3 linked regions of the Lytechinus pictus genome follow. The main gene of each other region encodes a partner of the protein of the gene in region 2 in a complex. Links are inferred from orthologs where the notes say so. Each region holds a gene or a part of one and is shown on either strand. Other genes may lie near its edges. The genes, in order: pre-mRNA-splicing factor SPF27-like, pre-mRNA-processing factor 17-like and pre-mRNA-splicing factor RBM22-like.

Region 1 (7,534 bases), on a different chromosome or scaffold from region 2:
TCCGAGGTGCGTTGTTATAATTATTATTACCCCGGCTTTAGCTCGAGCTGCCTTTCAGCGCTCATGCATTCAAGGAATTAATCCTGCCGGGTACCCATTCACCTCACCTGGGTCGAGTGCAGCACAATGTGGATAAATTTCTTGCTGAAGGAAATTACGCCATGGCTGGGATTCGAACCCACGACCCTCTGTTTCATAGTCAGAAGACTTATCCACTGGGCCACAACGCTCCACACGTTGAGGACAAAATTTTGTATAAATTATCGTATAACTTTGTAAAGGTAATACCTAACCATCATCTTGAGTTTGGTTTTAAATTTTAATGCATGAGAATGGCAGGACTAAGCCAGATGCTCTTCCTGTGTCTCCAAGGTATGTGGGTGGCAGGTCTTTTTAGTGATCTATCAATTTGCTTTAATTGTTAATGGATTAAGGCTGGGAAGCTAGACACAGCTATGTACTGTATTGTACTGCTCTTTGCTACTGATGGTTCTATCCAGTGGTGTGAGATAGGCATTTTGATACAGCTACGAACACTATTTCGGTCTGTGAATCCATTTATTCAATGGCAAAAGATGGATTTTCAGTGTGATGAAAGTTGAAAGCCTTACATGTTTTGTTACTTTCATATTTTGAGAAGTATAATGTAAATTTCGAGTGTATTCGTTTTTGTATTTTAAAAGTGATATACATGTTATGTTCTTTTATAGTGGAAACTTAATATTAGTAATATTAATGGATGTGTTCATATTTAAAGTCAAGATATTTCAACTACCTTGTATTTGAATTGATTTTTAGTTTGGCATAGGTCTGCACAAGAGAATGATAACTTTGAAGACCTGTAGATGATATTGCCCTAGACGACATATCACTTCTCACGATAGTGCAAACTTCCAACTTTTTAGGGTTCAGGGGCAAGGGTCATAGCTGTCAATCTAACACCCTTTTTCCCTTTCCTAAGTTTACTATCTTTATGTTAAATGAAGCAGCAGAAAACGAGATATGATTTGTACATCAATTACATGTATTTAATACAATATGTGAATATTACTGCTGGTGAAAATAAAAACAAATTAGTTCTGAGTAGAAGGTTTTTTTTTTAATTGTTTAAATGCTTTTGTAATAGGCCAGTTAGAAACAAACTATTTTCATCTTTCTTAACTCTGAAAGATTGATTTTTGAAAATTGTAGTTCATCATGTGAAAACAACACAAGATATAAAATGTACATTACTGATGATAATCCATGAACTTATTGCTTGTAGAATTACGAAAACAATATTCAAGCTTCTCATAGGCTATGCTCATTTTTCGACTTCCAAAGGTTTGTCAGTTCTCAGGTGGTCTTACAATTTCGTCTTAGATCAGATTTGATTTCCTTTATAAGTCGATTGAAGGATCCTAAAAGCATAAATACATAAAGGTGATTATCAATACAGTTTCTTCGCTTACCCTTTGGTGTAAAAATGTTTATTTTAATCATAGGTGCAATATGTCTGTTTATATTATAATTTCAATATGAATCGACCCAGTAGTGATTACAAAGGTCTATTGATGCTTGCTATGAGGACTATGTAATCAAGAAATTTTTGTCAATTCAATTAAAGTTAGATTTAGGACCCTCTATCACAAGTCTTGTAATCAATCGGAAATTCGCAATTGATAACTGGCGTGATTCTTGCATCAACAAATATTACCTTGCTTTACTTCAAGTCGACTTATCACTTGTAAATTTGCAACTGAAGTTGTAATTATTTTCTTGCAACACCCACTACATGTAGATGTATGTCTTATATATTTCGGCGAATTTCTCTGCAGCCCTGTTTATTTTTGTCATTGATATGATCGACACAATGCAGGATTAGCTTGTTTTAAACTCATATTGACTTGCTTGCATTGTATTGGTTTTACAGAGATACCTTCAAACTATAGATAGATACATGTTCTCTGAGAACGATGGCAGTTGAAACTGTAGAAATTCACCTTGTGTAACTCGATAACCTTTTCAGCAATCTGTTCTGTTAAAGTATGGATTTAGTTTTTGTGTTTAAAGATATCTTGCTGTTTATTATTTTTTTGTATCTTTATGTTAAAAACATTGTAAGATAAGATAAGGATTTCAAAGATTTATTGACTTTACTGATTTGATTTGTTTTTGTATTGTCTTGTTGGTTGAGGTTGTGTTTCCTAAAGTTCATAATGCTGAGATAAGGATTCCATATTTATCTCTGTATACAGTTTACAGTTAATGTCGTGTTTCCACTGCCAGGTTTGGCAATTAGATCATGTCATTTTAAATATTCAAGCTCTAAATTTGCTATTTTTGTGATATCCTAATATGGGGAAAGTGAAATTATTTAAACCCCAGTGGAGTGTTTCATAATAGTATTTGTCATATGTTTTATCCCGTGAAATCTGTTTTATCCAACTGTAACCATAGTAACAGACAGCTAAATTTCTTAGCCAATCTTAATCCAGAAAAGTGATGGACCAGACAACATGTCAGAGAAATGTTGATGAAACACATGTACATGATTTACTTAAATAAAACGACTATGAATTATTTGTAAGGTTTAACTTTAGCTTGGGTATAACTTACCACTTTGAATTTTGCTTTATAGACATGTCTTCTTCTTCAGCATAATTTTGTGATCTATCATCCTTATTCCTAAGAGTGAAGATTCAAAAGCTTACAGGCTCACAGTCACACTATGTATGGTTCACATATGGTTCAGTAAGATTCAGCATCAAATGCTTATGCAGCTGATTACATGTGTTCATGAAGTAGTAGATTATAAAGTAGAAATTTGCAATTATGACGTCACAGTACTAGGTTGAATCTCTTGGGAGAAAATTCAACTCAAAACTGATAGATGATGTGTTTTGCATATAATGTTTTGAAGTGCTGCTTGAGCCTGCTTCAGTTGTTGCTATTATTTCACGATTGGAATTACTCCAAACTGGGTGGTATTTCATAAAGCTGTCTTTGTGCGTTAAGCTACGCATGACTACGCATAACTGGAACATGTTCTTAGGTGCTCAGTCAGTTACATGTGATATATCATTTAGCCTAAGATAGGGTCACCAGTCATGTGTAAACAACTGCAGTCGTCCCAAGATTAATTGTCAAAGTACATGTACATGTGCGTCTTAGATATATTCTAACTAATTGAACGAAATAAATACAAGTGTGATGATTATTGATGCATTGTGATTTACGCGTAGATGACGACAGAAAGGTCCGAAAATATGCATTATCGCACTTCATGATATATTATCTTTAATGCATGACTGATCAGTCACAATTTGCAACTAGGTGAAAAACAAGGCTATTATTATCTCTTCCATATGAAATCAATTAACTGTGTATAATGACAGCCAGGTTAGAAGTTTTTTGACTTCAGCATCTTCTCCTTTTACTGCGTTTTATATGTATAGTGTTCAAATAATTCCTGTATACACTGTATATGTCGTACATGTACATTGTAAGCAAGCAGTGAGTGTGAAATAGGTAGGTGTGTCTGAATTATTTTCATTTTGGTAATATGTCATGGTTTACTTATAGGGATATCAGAAAAAATTACAGGACATTATTATAAAAACTAAATTCTAAATCACTTACATTTGCAGGTGTACATGTTAGAGTTCAAGAATTATGTCTGTGAATCTTCACGAAATTACATATGATGTCAATTTTGTTAACTTTGTATACCAAGTGATGGCTGTCACTTTTTAATGGAAAGAGGTATAATTATCTCTGTGGTGTCATTATTTATTATGATAGATTTATAGCAAAGCACAGGGTGCATCTATATTGATTGTAAATGTACCGTTTGTGTTACATTGTGCAAAGCACTTAAGTGGCCGGGGGATACTGGACGTCTTGTAAATAAAGACTGATCAATCATAGCAATACCTGATTTTCCTCATTCTTTGTTAAAGTCTATCTTTTGCCTGTTTCAGCACCCCCCCAAAAAAAAAAAAATTTGTGAATGTCACTATTCCAATTCATTATTAGATCATATTAATGAATGTGTCCCAAAAATGGTCATACACAGAATATTTTCAGGGGGGGGGGGGCAAAGATGCATACATTTTTTTAAACACTCCAAAGTGATCGGGGGCAAAGCAACCAACCAAGCTTGTCTTCGGGGCACTTATGCATTTTTAAAAGTGAAATTGAAGGATTTTGTGCACACTGTTGGTGAATTTTGTGATCACTTTGAGTAAAAAAATGCAAGTTTTAATTTTTTTAGGGGGGGAGGCAAACCATAGGAATCGCGAGCGTTGAGTGACAGTTAAGTTCTGAGCTAAGGCTTAATTGCAGGGATTTTTGTGGACAAAATTGGAAAATCAGTAGACTGTGGTAATTGAGGTTAATCTCCATAATCTCAGATGCATCTGAGGCTCACGATTTTTCAATTTTGTCAGAAAAATTGGCGAAGACCGCAGAATTATGATTTTTTTTCTCTTCAAATTTTGCCCAAAGAAAGCCTCCCCCCATCAAAATTATCCCTCATTGTAGCGCCCTCTATTCCAGCTGTAGCGCTATGCGGCGTTTTCACTTTTTGTAGTGCAAACGGGATGCTTGAAAGCCTTGATTTCGTCGGCCTCTTTCGTAATTCTAACTGAGAAAATATGGCGGGAGAAGTAATAGTTGATGCCTTGCCCTATGTCGACCAGGGATACGATGAACCAGGAGTCAGAGAAGCGGTTGGTATTTGGAATAATCTCTTTTTTTGGGGGGTCGTCTTTGCCTTGGCAAAACTAGACTGCGAGCGAAAGTGACTTCGGTCCCAGGTATTAATTTTGGTGTTTAGTTTTCAACTCGAGGAACAATTCTGTGACTGTGTCTTGGAGTGTGAGTGACGTGGACCTAGCCAGGAGACTCCTAGCACTAGTGACTCCTAGAGAGTAAAAATCATTTACTAGCGTATGCTTGTACTCTCCACGGAGCCAGGGATGGTGTTAACCCCATTCATGTGCGTGTACCGGGAAAAAACTGAAAGTGAAACTGAAGCCTATTCTAGCTCGGGGGCGAAAGTTTCAATTTTTTCGTGGTAGAACTGGTACACGCAAATGAATGGGACACAAAAGTCAAAAGTCACAATCCCTGGCTCCGTAGAGAGTAAGCATACGTTAGTCGTTAGCAAATGATTTTTACTCTCTTACTAGTCTTAGTCTTAAGACTCTAAGTCTAGACTAAGTTAGACTGAGAGAATGAACTGCAGCCACTCACACGTATATTGCGAGGTTAGTATTACTCACTCACACAACATGCGAGGTTAGTATACTAACCTCGCACAACACATGTGATTTCATAGTGCATTTTGACGTTTTCATTCATCACACGAATGTGAGGGACTAAACTACGCCAAACCTTTCAATATTTCTCCACTATGTTAATCTTGATCGTATGGTTTACTTTAAGTAGGGTGTCTGAAGCCACACTGAAAAGTGTCAGCATAAAACAGGCTAATTTAGGGAAAATATGGCACATTTTTTCGGGGAAGTTCAGGCTACTAGAAAAATGTGATCTGAATTGATTATTAACTTGTGTTTGGCATGTATGGAAAGAGAAAATTCAGGGGCTCCTTTTGACAGTAAGGACAAGTTTATATGATCTTTTTAAATAAGGATTTAGAGATAAATTGCAAACCCTGGCCTTATTTATGTGTGTGTTGAGATTGCCATTTCTCCATGCGTTTTCTATGGGAAAATGAAATTTCTGTTTTGCACAATTTTTTTCACTTTGTCGCAATTTTTCATTGTGATCTGGTTTCAAAATCTTTATAAAAATCATACCATCAGATAGAGCATAAAAAATCCTATTGGACTCTTTATGGACAAGTTTTTGGCATTAATAATAAATTTATAACAGCTCTCGGAAGCTAAAAATTTGGATTTGTGTGTGTCCATTTCTTAACTACACAGTCTATGGCAGAGAAATGCTGAAAATTTACCTAATTTCATTCTTCTTTTTTGCAGCCAATAATTGGATTTTTTCCAAAATGTTACATTTCTGTCAGTCTGAAGGTCATTTCTCTTCAAATTCACAAAGAAAATGTGATATTTTCTTGAAATAAGAAAAATAATTTTTTTCTCCAGACACCCTACTTTAAGGTTATTTGAAAAAGAAATTATAAATTATTTATTAAAGTGTTTTTATCGCTTACCTCCAAATCTCAACCAGGATACTTCGCTCGGTCCGTCCTTAGTCATCCTTCGTACTGCGGTGGAAATTACGCAAACAACAATCGAAATGCGAAATTTTCCTATCGAATATTCTCGATTCAAGTCGTCGGCGCATAATAGGAAATTGTACCAAAAATCAACATAGTTCTCTATTTATTCAAACAATTTTTTCTGGGGTGCACTTGACCTTTAAGAGATTTTCCAATGAAAATATTACATGGAACTTGGAAATACAAATCATAATTTGGTTGAACAAAATGTTTTCTGTTAAAGTATAAAACAGAAGAGGAACATATCCTTCACGTATTTTTATATCCAAAATATGTTGCCTTAGTATGGAATAATCACAATGACATAAAATGAAAATGGGTAAAGTACCTTCCTAATGATCATTGAGATTTCGCCTATGGAATCATTGTTTAATAATTTTCAAAGCTTTAAATAGATGAAAATGGTCATTGAGAAAATATACATGAACAAAATGATAATGTCCCGATTGTTTCGCATTACGTGTGTTAGATTGCGGGCGTTTGTGTGTGTGTGTAGGAGGCAAGATATTCGTGTTAATGTTTGCACAAAAAAGGAGAGGGAAAGGAAAAGGGGAGGGGGAAAGGTAGAGGAGAGAGAGGGAAAAGGAGACCATAAAATAGAAAGAAAACAAAGGAAAGGAAGAGGGGAAGGGAGAGAGAAAGAAAAATGGAAAGAGCGAGAAAAGAGTAGGGGAGGGAGAAAGGAAAGAAAAGAAGGGAAAGGAAAAAGGGAGAAAGGGAATGGAGGGGGCGGGAAAGGAAAGGAGAGACAATAAAAGACAGATCAGGGGAGGGGGAAAGTAGAGGAGAGAGAGGGAAAAGGAGGCCATAAAATATATATAGGTCTCCTCATCATGGTTATAAAAAGTGCTCAGAATGTTTTATTTTCAAGTCCTTGTATCAGAATTTTCAGCTCGGGCAGCTCTATCGCATTTTGATTACTATCCTGTTGATTTATTTACTTGAACAAAATATTTAAAATGTCCAGCTTTTAGAACAGATATCAAAAAAAGGTATTCACCTTTGATCATAGATGAGGAAGAAGAAAAAAGTGCAAAAAAATAGGAAACAAACTAACGAATTAATGTGACATAATTTTTCTTCATTTCAAGGCGACTCTTTACATTTCATCATCGCTGATGGCGCTACAATAGAAAATACCGCTTGACAGCCAAAAAAAAACAGAAAGAGGAAAATAATGCTGAGCGTCTAAAACGCAGCTAGCAGTACAAGCTGCAGAACAGTAAACAAACATCTTGTGAATAATATCGCGCGCCCTCTTTAAGCAAAAGTTTACAACCACGATGACCC
Region 2 (6,927 bases):
AAATATATGCATAGCCTTATGAATGTACAAGTCAATAAAATCTACTATGACTACATAGCTTTTTTTTGTGCAACACAGTCATATTTCATTTGGATCAATTCAAAATTGAGTGGTGTTTTGGGGGTAATGCTATGGTAACTGCAGTTCTGTTGTCCTCTGACAGTTGGTGTTGTAAGGATGTGATTGGCAGTGTGTTATAAGAGAAAAAAGAAAGTTAAAGTGAGAGTGTTGGCTTTGAAATGGACTCAACCTATGAAAGTTAAAGTTTGTGCTGCAGAAACTGGTGTGGTAGTGGGATGATAATGATGATGAGGAACAGGGCCGGTATTCAATGCTACTCTTAAAGCCATAATTTCAAGTATATTTTACTCAGTATTTTGCAAAAGTAAAATACTTATCCATCTTTGGTATTCAATTGCATTTTTTTTTGGCTAAATATTTTGCTTAAATGTAAGTCAGCCATCTACTAGACTTAAGTCTACATATACAAAAATGATACGCACAGAAATACATTCACACATTTGGCACTATTTGGCTCAAAATTTATAACATCACAATGGGTATTAGTATTTAGTTCAATTTGGATAAGGTAAATTCTGAGATCTGATCTGCATACAAGTTTAAGCATTTTGATAAGCCAGCCAAATTGCTAAGTAAAATACTTACAAAATCAAAACTTAGAATTTAATAGGCGGCCGAGGTATTATTTTCTTCCAGAGGACATGTACAGATTTCTTGTTGACAAAGGATGACATGATGATTATTTTGCAAATATGGCTTATTAAAAAATATATTATGTATATTCCATTTCAGTGACAATTGCATTTTTGGGGAGGGGATATTACGTATTTGGGAATGGAAAAGTTCAAAATTAATGCAAACTTAACCTATTTACGCAGGGGGGGGGGGGCTCTGAGCTCTGCGATTTAAAAAAAAAAGTCTTTTGCATGTTTTGAGACCAGTTTTGCGAAGCCCGGGTACTGGGTTCTGAAAATTACCAAACAATTTGTAAGTGCATATCAGACAAAAATGGCTCAAAATTGTGACATTTGTGTACCACGTCAATGGAATATGCGTTTTCAACCAAAATTCATGAATGCCTAATTGTTTTTAGTTTTGTTGAACTAAACTGATTTATTTTATGCTGTTACGAGAGTCTGAGCATCGTTGAAAAAAAACAATGCAATACAAAGGTAAAAACACAAGAAATACATTATCGAAGAACACCACAAAGAGTTTCTAAACCAAAAATTAGAACATTTGGAGCTTTATTTAGGGAGTTAGAGGAATAGGTATAGTATACTAATTATGCACAAATGAGCATAATCAATTAATAGCAATTTGCATGAAATAAATAAATAACTACACAATTTTGTGGATTATTAAAAGCAATTGCGATCTTTTTCTTCACTATTCATTGTTTTTAGAAACCTCATTGTAGACTTGCCTCATGCACCTCTCAAGATGGCTTCATCATTTGAATTATATTCACCATAACTTGTAATACAGTTTATTCTTTTTAAAAACCTCCATTAACTAATTGCCTCACCTCCTTTTAAATTGGCTTCACCATAATTTGTAATACAGTTTATTCTTTTTAAAAACCTCTATTGAAACTTGCGTCGCCTCCTTTTAAATTTGTAGTACAGTTTATTCTTTTTTAAAAACCTCCATTGAAACTTGCCTCACCTCCTTTTAAATTGGCTTCACCATATACAGTTTATTCTTTTTAAAAACCTCCATTGAAACTTGCCTCACCTCCTTTTAAATTGGCTTCACCATAATACAGTTTATTCTTTTAAAAAACCTCCATTGAAACTTGCCTAGCTCACCTCCTTTTAAATTGGCTTCACCATATACAGTTTATTCTTTTTAAAAACCTCCATTGAAACTTGCCTCACCTCCTTTCAAATTTGTAGTACAGTTTATATTCTTTTTAAAAACCTCTATTGAAACTTGCGTCGCCTCCTTTTAAATTTGTAGTACAGTTTATTCTTTTTTAAAAACCTCCATTGAAACTTGCCTCACCTCCTTTTAAACTGGCTTCACCATAATACAGTTTATTCTTTTTAAAAACCTCCATTGAAACTTGCCTCACCTCCTTTTAAATTGGCTTCACCATAATACAGTTTATTCTTTTTAAAAACCTCCATTGAAACTTGCCTCACCTCCTTTTAAATTGGCTTCACCATAATACAGTTTATTCTTTTTAAAAACCTCCATTGAAACTTGCCTCACATCCTTTTAAATTGGCTTCACCATAATACAGTTTATTCTTTTTAAAAACCTCCATTGAAACTTGCCTCACCTCCTTTTAAATTGGCTTCACCATAATACAGTTTATTCTTTTTTAAAACCTCCATTGAAACTTGTCTCACCTCCTTTTAAATTGGCTTCACCATAACCCAGGACCAAAATCCAATTGAAACCAGTTGGATTTCCAACTGGTTTCAATTGGTTTCAATTGGTTTTAACTGGTTTCAATTGGTTTTAACTGGAATTTAACAATTTCCAGTTGAAACCAATTGAAACCAGTTGGGCAACTGGAAATCCTAACTTTAACCTCCTTTAATTTAAATTGGCTTCACCATAATTTGTAGTACAGTTTATTCTTTTTAAAAACCTGCATTGAAACTTGCCTCACCTCCTTTTAAATTGGCTTCACCATAATACAATTTATTCTTTTTAAAAACCTCCATTAAAACTTGCCTCACCTCATTTTAAATTGGCTTCACCATAATTTGTAGTACAGTTTATTATTTTTTAAAAACCTCCATTGAAACTTGCCTCACCTCCTTTTGAATTGGCTTCACCATTGTAGTACAGTTTATTCTTTTTTAAAAACCTCCATTGAAACTTGCCTCGCCTCCTTTTAAATTTGTAGTACAGTTTATTCTTTTTAAAAACCTCAATTGAAACTTGCCTCACCTCCTTTTAAATTGGCTTCACCATAATTTGTAGTACAGTTTATTCTTTTTAAAAACCTCCATTGAAACTTGCCTCACCTCCTTTTAAATTGGCTTCACCATAATACAGTTTATTCTTTTTAAAAACCTCCATTAAAACTTGCATCACCTCCTTTTAAATTGGCTTCACCATAATACAGTTTATTCTTTTTTAAAACCTCCATTGAAACTTGTCTCACCTCCTTTTAAATTGGCTTCACCATAATACAGTTTATTCTTTTAAAAAACCTCCATTAAAACTTGCCTCACCTCCTTTTAAATTGGCTTCACCTTAATACAGTTTATTCTTTTTTAAAACCTCCATTGAAACTTGTCTCACCTCCTTTTAAATTGGCTTCACCATAATATTCAGGTAAGGTATATTCATTCTTTTTTTAAAAAACATCATTGTTCACTTCCCTCACCTAGATCATTTGGGTATATATAATACCTTTTATTCTACACTATTCTTCCCTTTAAAAAAACCTGATTGTACTCCTGCCTCCCCTGATCTGACATTTGCCTCTCAACGTACTGGAAATAGATACCCTTTTTTCAATATTTTTGTGTTTTTGACACCCTTATCACGTTACGTACGTAACGTGCCCTCTCTTGAAAAAGACATCCTTTTTACGTGTTTTTTTGGTTGCGCATGGTATCCACTCGTCAATGTAAGTGGCACCCCCGGGCGTACTGTACAGTGTTATTTTATTATCTCTTTATATCGGAAACTTCGTTTTACCGAATTGCCATGCACTCTCTCCGACGCGTAATTGAAGTCTTAGACAGCATGGCATACTACCAGCCGATGGTACACACACGCACGCACACACACGTTATTTGACAACTTGTCTCTGGAGCCAAAGTTCCTCGCATATATATCTGCATGCCTGCACGCAGTGTGTATTGAACACGCACGACCACGATCTAATGAATATTCATCGGCGAGACTGACGTCATTTTACGAGTCTCCTTTCAAACTTGGATCATAAGTGCCTACCAAATAGAAATGGCAGCGATTTCAGCTTTGCAGGCTTATGGAAGTGACGAAAGTGATGGAGATATTAGTGATAAGGAGTCCAATTCTGAAGATGCGACGGCACATCTCAGACCACTTGAGAAGGATCGGACCATTAAATCTTTGCAAGTGAAATTACAATTGAACGCAGCACCAACGGTGGACGAAACAAGTGACGTGAGTATTTGTACGTTGTCCCATATATCTGACTTGATGTTGGTAAAAATAAAATAAAACTAGATTTTAATTCGTCATGCGGACGAATTAGGTGGTCTGTCCTTATTCTCGCCATCATGATCACTATTTCCATGTTCAAGCAGATCAATATGATCTTCATGATGACAACGGAATGTTCATTATGGATGGAATACTTGCGAAAGTCGGGAGATGATAAAGAACTGTGAAAAGGGTCTCTTGATATATGAAAATACATGTGATATGAAAATAGTAATTATAATCTGTTTAATCTTGCTAATTTTTAACTTTCATACCTTTTGAATACCATAAAGGATCGTGTACGAGGTGGTAAAAAGAAAAAAAAAATGAAAAAAAAATCACCTTGTTCACCCCCAGGACTCGAGCCTGCGCCCCCGAGATCTCAAGTCAAGTGCGTTATCCATTGAGCCACGATATTCCCCATAGAGATTACACGTTCCCATAGAGATTACACGTAAGCAAATTTGAGAATTGCAAATCCAACTTTGCAAGCGAAAAACGGGCATGATCCCGGTATCTGATCAAAAAATGGAGGGCACACTTCCGAAAGCTGAGAATCTTAGCTACACCATATTCAAAGCTCAGAGACAACTGACAAAAGAAAATGGAGATATAGCTCACGAAATAGAGGAATGTAGAATCTAGTTTTGAGAAAAAGTTATGTCCCATAGAGATTACACGCAAAATGAGTAAAAATGACATGCCTTTATTATTTGCAATTTTTCAAGATGATCCGTTCATTAAAATGAAAAATAAAGGCAATAACTCAGAAAGAGTAAGACCTAAGCTACAACATATCGAAAATTGGGCGAAAATTAACTAATATTCACGGAGTTAGAGCCTAATTTGCATAATGGTTATGACGTCATAACAAGCAAAATGGATATTTTGATTTCCAACGCAGTTTTGATGACGTCATGATCAAATTGAGAGACAATGGTGACATGAAATCAAATCTACAACTCATATTCTATCGACATTTGAAAAAAAAATTGGGGGTCAACGGACTATTTAAAGAGCTACAGTGAATTTCCAATAGGCATGTTTTCGCCCATATATGGCCTGTAGTGAGAGCTCGCGCGCACACGTGCTGCAAACTTTAACGGGTGTTTATTTCGTTATCAATGGTCATAGAAGGTTGATCAAGGTATCAAATTGCTCAGAATTATATCATCAATGCAATGATGTAAAAAAAACTGTGTTTCTGCGTTGCGTTATGGCGTTGCGCGCGGAAACGCGCGCGCATACGTGCATGCGCGCAATTTTTTTGAAATGCTTAAAATGACTTGAAACGTACCCAAAAAAATTTATAAGCCATTTGGAGAATTTTTTTGGCTTTGACGCGCGTGTACGCGCGCGTCTTGACCTTTACATGACCTTTGATGACATTGACAGATGACCTTTGATTTAAAGTTTATGTGATGTAAATATGGTTGATTATTGATGATCCGTTATGTTGATATGATCAAATTGAGAATTTTACAAAATGGCGCGTAGATGACGTCATCATGACCAGATGACCTTGAAAAGCTTAGTATGCCGTCTCTATGATAGACTCTATATATGACAGAAAAATCAGCCAAAATGATTCAGCCAATTCGGAGAAAAGTTGGCGACAAACATAGGTGCTAAAAATAAATAATAAAGAAAGAAAATTCTGACGAAATTAAGAGGTGATCTGTCATAGACAGACCACCTAACTATAAATAACTTAGAAGTTTAGACATGTTACTGTTAGAAGACGTGCATCCCACATTGTCAATTAATTGCATGTGTAACGTTAGACAGCTGGCAGCCGTCTGTTTCGAGGAGTTTTTTAAAACATTTTTTTTATTTTCTCCTCGTACACAGACGGCTCGCTATCGTGCAGCCACCATTAGGCCTAGGGCACTCCTAGTACCAATGAGGTCCAACATTACATGTATGGACCTCATAGGCGACATCAGTAGTATTTTTGGTTAGAAATCTCTGAGAACAGGATATTTAAACATTATATCACAAGTACAAGCTATAATTCCTTTCTCTTATTTAAATTATAATTTTATAGTGTAAATGCATCGTTAGCAACAACAAAAAATGAAAGAAATGAAGGGGAACTTACATTTTCACGGCTTTTTCCTGATTTTCTGGGCAGCTGCTCTTCTCTTCTGACTCGCGATCGAAGCTGATATGAAGATCACGTGATTCGCGTTCTCGTCAGCTGATCGGTTGGTTATTCTTTTCGTCAGACGTTAATAATATATATTTTATAATGCTAGCATTCATCGCTAATTTAGGTGAAAGAGATTGAAGTTAAACAGCGCCAGGTCGGAATCATAATTATTTTGGAAGAGTGTATTTATACACTCGATCTCATACCTGACGTAGACGGCGCTATTCAACAAATGCACAATCTTCAATATAAAAATAAAACAGAAAGAACGCCTTGAACACAGGCCAAAATGCCTAACGATTTCTCCGCGGCATTAACAACTATCGTAAAGGGCGCTCCATTTATCAATAAAGATGGACGCTAAGCTGTCTATGGCGACAAAATTTGCCGCAAATATTTACGAAGAATTGTGAGAAATGGTCTGAAAATGCAACAAAAGAACCGGTGAGTACCGATTAAACATTATTAAATTTGTAAATAGATTATACATACCTTGTAGATTTAGTTTTTAAGGTGATATTAGTGCTTAGTTCTAAGCTAGGGAGGCCCAAACGCGCGTGAGTGGAGTCCCAGTTTATTAGCACGGGTAAGTATTG
Region 3 (7,732 bases), on a different chromosome or scaffold from region 2:
GTAACCCGCAAGTGAAAACCCGAACCGTACCGTCCCGTATAATCCAATAATTTGCAAGCGGGACCCGCTGACCCGTCGGGTTTTAACCCGCAAGTAAATTTATCTTTGAAAAGTGAAAATTATTTCTGCAATCCCCACACTATACAGGCTCAAATCACGAAAATATATGCCAACTACTAACCTAGCCTAGAGTGAATTTACTTACAATTTGCAAATTTGCCTTTTATTCCGGAGAGAAAATGTTTTTGGGGGTTACTTTGTACCCGAAATGGGTCGGCTCTGATCTCGTAATCGAAAGCATTGCGCAATTAACTCCTCGGATCGGAGCCGCAGCTCAGCGCGCGCTAGCTACATGTAGCCCAGGCTGCCCAGCAAATTCGATGTTCGGTTTCCCGTCGCCCGCCCGCGTTATGAAATTTGGACCGCGTTTAAAAATCAAATTCTGAAAATAATTCATTATTTTACTATTTTGACATAGATATAGATTCAGAACTGATATAAAACATTAATATAAGCTTTTCAGTCACAATTACTTGTATATCATGTAAATACCTGTAATTCTTTTCTTGTTTTTTTCTTGTGAATGGAATGACACTGCATGCTCAACCACACCTCGAGCGATGTTCGTGCAGCGCAGGCTCCACTCAACTTCACTTCTGCTACACTACGCTCTACCTACCCGATGTAGCGGTAGTGAAGTGGAGTGGAGCCTGCACGAACATCGCTCGAGGTTTGGTCGAGCTACCTCAATAAATCCCATAGTCTAGTAACCTCGCATTGGTGAGTTGTCATACGGCATATCAGACAAAAAAATCATCAAACAAAACTCAATCTGTTTTACAAGGCCGACGGGAGGCTCACGCACGTACGCATTGGCGCTTGTACTAGCTAGCCAGTCTGAGCTCTGTCTCTCTGCCAGAGCTCTGGGGGACAATTCGCTCTGTAAAGTTTATATTTCGGGAATATTATTCAAAACTGCCAATAAAGTTAGATGATTTCTTCATTGTCATGTATATTTAAGTTATTAATGAGTTCATTCTCACCAAATTTAGACTCCCCCATAGAGAAATGCAATTTTCGTGGAGATCTGCGTTTTCAAAGAACATCAGGAAAAGTTAGGGTATGTGGGCCTTTATTACATGGCCAAGTACTGGAATTAGATGGAGTAGAAATTAGATATTGAATTCATTTATATCCAAGTTCAACTCATAGTCACACCCACACAAACACACCCACATCCAAGATTCTAAGCATGAAAAAAAATAACTTTAAAATCATTCAATATTAAACAATAAGTAATAATTAATTTAATAAGTGAACAGGGATTCCTCAAAATACAAAAACGTAGCATTTGAAAAGAGCCCCCAAAATGAAAAAAGTAGCCTCCAAAACGGTAGAAATGGAGACCCTGAAATATTACCCAAAAAATGAAAATGGAACCCCCGAAAAAAAATGATTGATTTGCTCCCTGGCTTCAAGACAGTTCCACAGAATAAAAGTGCGTTCAAAGGTTACAAAAGGTCAAACTTTCATCTTCTGGAAAATAATGAAATCCTCATTATGAGCTTGAAAAAATGGGACGGGAAACTCGACATCGAGTTTCATTGGCCTATGCGATTGCTTTTGACTAGACTGTGCTGCGCTGCACTGGCGCGCGCGCTCCTTCTTCAAAAGAGCAACTCGATGTATTTATGTCGAACTGTCTCAGTTCTGTTCACTGTTCACAAGACAAAAATACGCCAGCATTTTTTTTAAAGGAAATATCTACGTCTCTAAAAGAATCCGCCACGTAAGAAGCACATGATCCTAACTCAATTTTCATTTATTATTTTGTTAATGTTTTTATTATGCGTCGTTACTTCTCCCTTTTTTTTGGCATGACGGTCTGCGGGTTTGAGAATGAACTCGGCCCGGCCCGCAACCCGCGATCGGGGGCATACCGGCAGGTTAACCCGTACCGCAACGGGTGCGGGTTACAACATTACGCGCATGATTAATGGGCACAACCCCTGGCAGTAGAGGCGCACGGCCAATATTGGAGACTATCTGCAATGTGGGAGATTATCTCCAATATCAGAGACTTTTGTAAAGAATTTTGGTATCCAATTTTAGAGACAGTCTCCAGTTTTGGAGTCCAATTTCCTTTGTTTACATTTGCTTCAAAAGGATTACCTTGGCGGCAAATAAAAATGTAATAAGTAGATTCCTCATAAAAAATTACCCCTTTTCACCGTCTACTTTAAAAATTCACCGTCTACTTTTGTTTTGATAAGGATTTTTGTTGTCAATCACACACAAAACAAATGGGCTTCTGACCTCAGTGAGACAAAATTTTGGGTGGAAAAAATCATGCTTTTGTTAGTGTTGTTTCTTTTGTCCTTTTGCAAAGCAAGTCTCCAATGTGGGAGATTGTCTCCCCTATTGGAGAGAGTCTCCCATATTGGCCATGCGCCTCTACTGCCTGGCTCCGTGACACATTAGTGAATTTTTACTCTCTAGGAGCCTAATGGCTACTCTAGACTTGTGCACCTCAAACTACATCATGTAACTGCTCATGCTGAACTGCATTTCATGTTGACGCCGAAACGAAAGCGAAAGCATAAAGATTTGAGCAAGCTCAGCTGACGTTTCCTATCAGTCACACAGTTGACATTCAGATTATATATTCCATCCATATTCATGGTTACATTCAAGCAAAAATTAGGCTTTCGCACCGACATTTCTGTCAATTAGCTTCAATGAGCAATGAGTCACACACGTCCACTTTTTTTTCTTCTTTTCTCTTCATCACAGAAACCAATACACGAATACCAACAGGTGGGACAGTACAACCAAAAATTACTCCACAACATGAGATTGCAAAATAGCATGGATCTTTGTAAATCTTACATGAAATCAAACGGAATGTTGATGAAATTCTTGAGGGAATAATGAAGATTCACATTATGACCCAAATAAGATAAAATTAATTCGTAAAATACTTACAGCTTCTTCCCAATTCAGTCGATTGTAGGTGTTTGCGCTTTTGCTCACCGCCATCGCTTGTGCTGCTTTCTTAAACTGAAATTACCGACCGAAAATAAAAGTAGCAAGGCGATAAAGGCATACGGTATCGCTTATAATTAGTCAGTTTAGTTTTTGGTAAAAATATTTATCTTTTTCATTTTTCAACTTAATTTTTAAAGTGCTTTTTTCGGTTAATTTTTACAATTATGATTTGTTATTGAATACGTTTTTTGTTTGTATTTTGTAGAATTCTCTGAACATCTAACTTACTTTGTAGGATTACATGTACTTTCAGAGTAACATTGAATCAAAGACTTTTTAGGTTTTTGATGACTTCTTTTCATCCCACTATTCTTATCATCTGTTCTCACCCATACTTTTATCATCGATTTTTTAATAAAACAATTGCACACCTAGTTACCAATAATGAATATAGCATTTCCATTTATTTGAAAACAGGATAAAATAGCATTGTAGAATAAAAGCCTTGCTCAAGGGCATAGGTGCCGCGGCCGGGGATCGAACCCCGGACTTTCCATGTGTAGCCAGGCGCCTTCGACCACTCGGCCATGGCACCACCACATTGATTGATTGATCGATTGATTGATTGATTGATTGCTTCTATTTTCCAAGTCACCATACATGTATACAGTAGCGTTAAAATCATAGGCTTGAACAGGATAACCAGTTGGAAGCTTATTTCGTTATTTGTATTTCTAATGAGCGATTTTAATGGGATGTTGCAAGAATTTTGCAATCGATTGCATGTCAGTTTTAAATCTTGAAATTAATTGCAAATTTGCAATTGTCTTCTCCTTGTATAACAAGAATACCGTTGATTTGCTTTTCTTAAAATTGATCTATAACTTGTAACATTTACAATTAATTGCAAATATTTTCTTGCAACACTCCCTAGGAATAATGGGCCCATAACCTAAAAAATCACTCGAAGAACACAATTTGTTAGCTTTCGGGACTGGTATGTATTGAATGCATTTATAATGGATGAGATGAGTTTTGTTCAGAATTCGGAATGGCGCAGGTATATAGGTCTACTCCTCACAATTTTGAGTGAAATTAAACACCCACTCCATAAAAAAGCCTAGGAAAAAAATGACACTATAATTGTGTCTCCCACTCTCTCACTGTCTAGTTCTTAATGGCATCACATAAATAATGAGTTTAGCTCACAGCTAGAGGTGTAACAATACAAAATATGAAATGTCTAATTTCGAGTATATGCAGTGCTGATTGTTCACCACAGCACTCACACAAAAGCAGGTGCAGTGGAAAATAAAAATATATTTTCTTTTGTGTGTGTATTATTCCTGTGAAGATCGACTGTCATTCTATTTGTTTCATTTTCAAGAGCCCCGGTCTCCGAGTGCTATGAGTATGGGCATATAGTACACATGACATTCTGATAAATTTGTCGATGTCAGCAGTTTAGGCCTATATCGCATGATAGCTGACTTGTTCAACACTGAAGCAATAGACCTGCTATATTATTATTATTATTACTGTTATCATTATTATTATTATTATTATTAATATTCTTCTTCTTATATTCTTCTACTACTTCTTCTCCTCCTCCTCCTTCTCCTTCTCCTTCTTCTTCTTCTTCTTCTCCTTCTCCTTCTTCTTCTTCTTCTTCTTCTTCTTCTCCTTTTTCTTCTTCTTTACGGCGGAGCAAGATGCTGAAATTTTGATCAAAATCAGATAACAAATAACAAAGTTATTGAATTTTAAACATTTGCATATTATTCCGGTGAAACATTTCTAGGCAAGTCTTTATGAACATTCATTAGATGGGCTCATGATGTCATATCCCCACTTGTTCTTTTGTATTTTATTATATGAAATTAGGATTATTCAAAATTTTTCTACCAAGAACGAAAACAAGTGGATTGACAACTGATTAAGTGCATTAGTTATTTATTGCCGCAACTTATTTCATCATAATGGAGACACATTATTTACACATGTATGAAAAAACGAAACATTTATGTTTTCATGTAATAGCAAAAGAAAAAGAAAAGTGGGGAGTGACATCATCAGCCCACCTAATGAATATACATGACGATGTGCGAATAACCGTTTTCACAAAATATTTATAAACTTTAAAATTCAATTATTTTGTTATCCGATTTTGACGAAATTTTCAGCAATTTGCTTTGTGAATTTTACACTATTTATTTGAATATAAATATTTTCAGCCTAGACCATCCCTTTAACATTCCGGGTTAACATTACACCCCCCAATCAATGAAAATCAAAAGCAATGAAGCCTATTGCATGTTCTATTCGAATCCATTGCACTTACGCCCTCAACATAGGCAAATCGCGATATAGCAGATATCGCAGGTTTTCTATCGTCTGCTACGTGTGTAGAAGCTGGAAGTCAATCCTGGAGTCAATTTGGCAAATTTTGTATTCGGTGAACTTTTATCTTTAATTACGCTGAAATAAGATAACAAACATCTGAATCTGTTTATGTGACAGAGGAAGAGATCCATCTTGACATATAAACGAATGCAGATAATTCAGTGAGTAACCTTTTTGTTGCAGTTCGTCGTTTTTAAGTTTATGATGTTGCTTAGATTTTGGAGGTTAATAATACAGTGCATGTGATGCGGATTGGGATGTACTCCGCGGGGAACTCCGGGGTTGTTGGTCTCAGCGTTGTGGGATACAGGTGATATTCGTTCTTCCGCTCTACCCACACGCCGCGCTGCGCATATCGAACATTGATGTTCATGTTAAAACTGAAAGTGGGGAAGTCAAACACAATTTGAGAGATAAAAACTGAGAATATGATGGTAAAGTGATTGAACTCCTGGCATTTCGGAGATTGTACCAAAATGATGATGGTGAAGATGAAATGTTACAGTCAGTGGCGGACCGTGACCCGGAGGAGACAATTAAAGCATTGGAGGGGCACTGTATTCATGGTATTATTTGTGAACAATGCTGTGCCCCTCCAATGCTTTGTCTCCTCCGGGTCACGGTCCGCCACTGGTTACAGTGATGGTTGTGGTGGTGGTGGTGGCCTGATGATGATGACAGTGATTGCTGATGATAATGATGTGATGATTATGGTTATGATGATAGCGGTGGGGTGGTGATGATGATGATGATGGTGATGATAAGTTATGATTATGGTGCATGGTGCATAATCATCAATTTCATCATAATGAAATTGAAGATTATGATTGTGCAAATCATTTTGATATTTTTATTATTGTGATGCTGGTGGTTATATTATATTGTGAATAATTTTCCTGGTATCAAATTGCATTTTGCTTCACATTTTTTATAGACTGAAACAGAAAAGGTATTTTTTATGTAGCAGATTTTTACACTGTACAGGACTTAGCTGAGAGATTTTCTCTTATGATAACCAAATTTGGTTGGCAAAAATTTGTATTTTATTACATAACAAACATAAATATATTGATTACTGTTTTTTAGGTATGAATCATTAATCTTCTGGGGTTACTTTTTTTTAGCTCACCAGCCCTCGTTTGACACGTCACATTTGCCACAGTGTTCATTGGACTCTAGAGGGATATCAGGGGATCTTTTGAATTTTTCCAGGGCTATTGGGGCATTTTTTGGGCGATTTCGCCTGAGCCCCCATATTTTGTGCCGTGCTGGTAATTGTGATCATGATTCAGGACTGAAATTATACCAATATTAAAGGCCTCAAACACCATGACTTGGATGCACTGTTGATTAGCTTTGAAGCCCCTCTCATTGGCCTTGAAGATTTGTTGTACTGGTACTCCTGTTTTCATTTTTTTATTGTTTAACTCCCATTTTAATTCCCTATTTATGGTGTACTAGTAGATAATGTGCCCTGTGGACAAGTGGCCTTGCCCTTAGAATGGGAATATTAATAACATGATATTGCTTATGATTAGGCTACTTATGATAATTGTGACTGGCATTTATGGGGAAAAATATTGGGAATTATTAATGTTTCTTGAAAAAAATAATCATTCTATTGTCCTTGCTGCAGTCAATAGAACAGATCCTTGTGATTCCTCTTCAGTAGAACTGAAAGATTTAGAAAAGAATAATTTGAAGCACTTAAGCAGAGAAGTTCCAGAAGCATTTTATAATAACAATTTTTCGGGGTAGGGGGCTTGACTCGACAAATCATATCCTCAGTAACCACTAGAGAAACACCCCCAAATTTGTTATTATGTCATCAATTTTTATTTCCATATCAATCTCAGATCAATCAGATCTCTCAAGTCTACACAATAGTTTCCATGTTGGTTCTCACTTCGGACCTAGATTTTCCCTTCAAAGCATCTGTTCTGTGCATCCAACCATCACAAACAATAATCCATGAGATATAACAAAGGCTTTAAAGCTCTTTCAATGACATTGAACTGCTCAACTGCTCTGGGTGTGCGTATTGATTTTAGAAAGTTGACACGTGCCTCGAAAACTTTCTGTAGTACTGGCCCTGGCTGCCAGCTGCTACAAAATTTGGGGAAAAATAAGGAAAAATTAGGGGGGGGGTCCAAAGGAAGGGCTAACTGTTCCAGTTTCTTATTAAAGTTTTGGTGATTTTTTGTAAAGTGAAATCTCATTATTGTACTTTACAAAGTTAGTGAAAAAATCTGATCAATTTAAATGATAAGAAAAATCAAAAGATTGAAGTGGTTGTAAAGTAAAAAAAATAAACAATTTACATATTTTTTTTTCTGTGTGT

The links.
Region 1: pre-mRNA-processing factor 17-like (region 2) and pre-mRNA-splicing factor SPF27-like share a complex: the UniProt entries of both Homo sapiens proteins name them as parts of the postcatalytic spliceosome P complex. The link is inferred for Lytechinus pictus from reciprocal best matches to the Homo sapiens genes CDC40 and BCAS2.
Region 3: pre-mRNA-processing factor 17-like (region 2) and pre-mRNA-splicing factor RBM22-like share a complex: the UniProt entries of both Homo sapiens proteins name them as parts of the postcatalytic spliceosome P complex. The link is inferred for Lytechinus pictus from reciprocal best matches to the Homo sapiens genes CDC40 and RBM22.

The regions. Positions count from the first base shown.
Region 1 is NC_087246.1:47,381,545-47,389,078, forward strand, and holds the start of pre-mRNA-splicing factor SPF27-like, read left to right. Parts: upstream 1-4,525; 5' UTR 4,526-4,637; coding exon 4,638-4,712; intron 4,713-7,534. UniProt on the Homo sapiens protein: Required for pre-mRNA splicing as component of the activated spliceosome. Component of the PRP19-CDC5L complex that forms an integral part of the spliceosome and is required for activating pre-mRNA splicing.
Region 2 is NC_087248.1:12,678,709-12,685,635, forward strand, and holds the start of pre-mRNA-processing factor 17-like, read left to right. Parts: upstream 1-3,913; 5' UTR 3,914-3,954; coding exon 3,955-4,140; intron 4,141-6,927. UniProt on the Homo sapiens protein: Required for pre-mRNA splicing as component of the activated spliceosome. Plays an important role in embryonic brain development; this function does not require proline isomerization.
Region 3 is NC_087262.1:21,577,576-21,585,307, forward strand, and holds the start of pre-mRNA-splicing factor RBM22-like, read right to left. Parts: upstream 3,105-7,732; 5' UTR 3,040-3,104; coding exon 2,986-3,039; intron 1-2,985. UniProt on the Homo sapiens protein: Required for pre-mRNA splicing as component of the activated spliceosome. Involved in the first step of pre-mRNA splicing.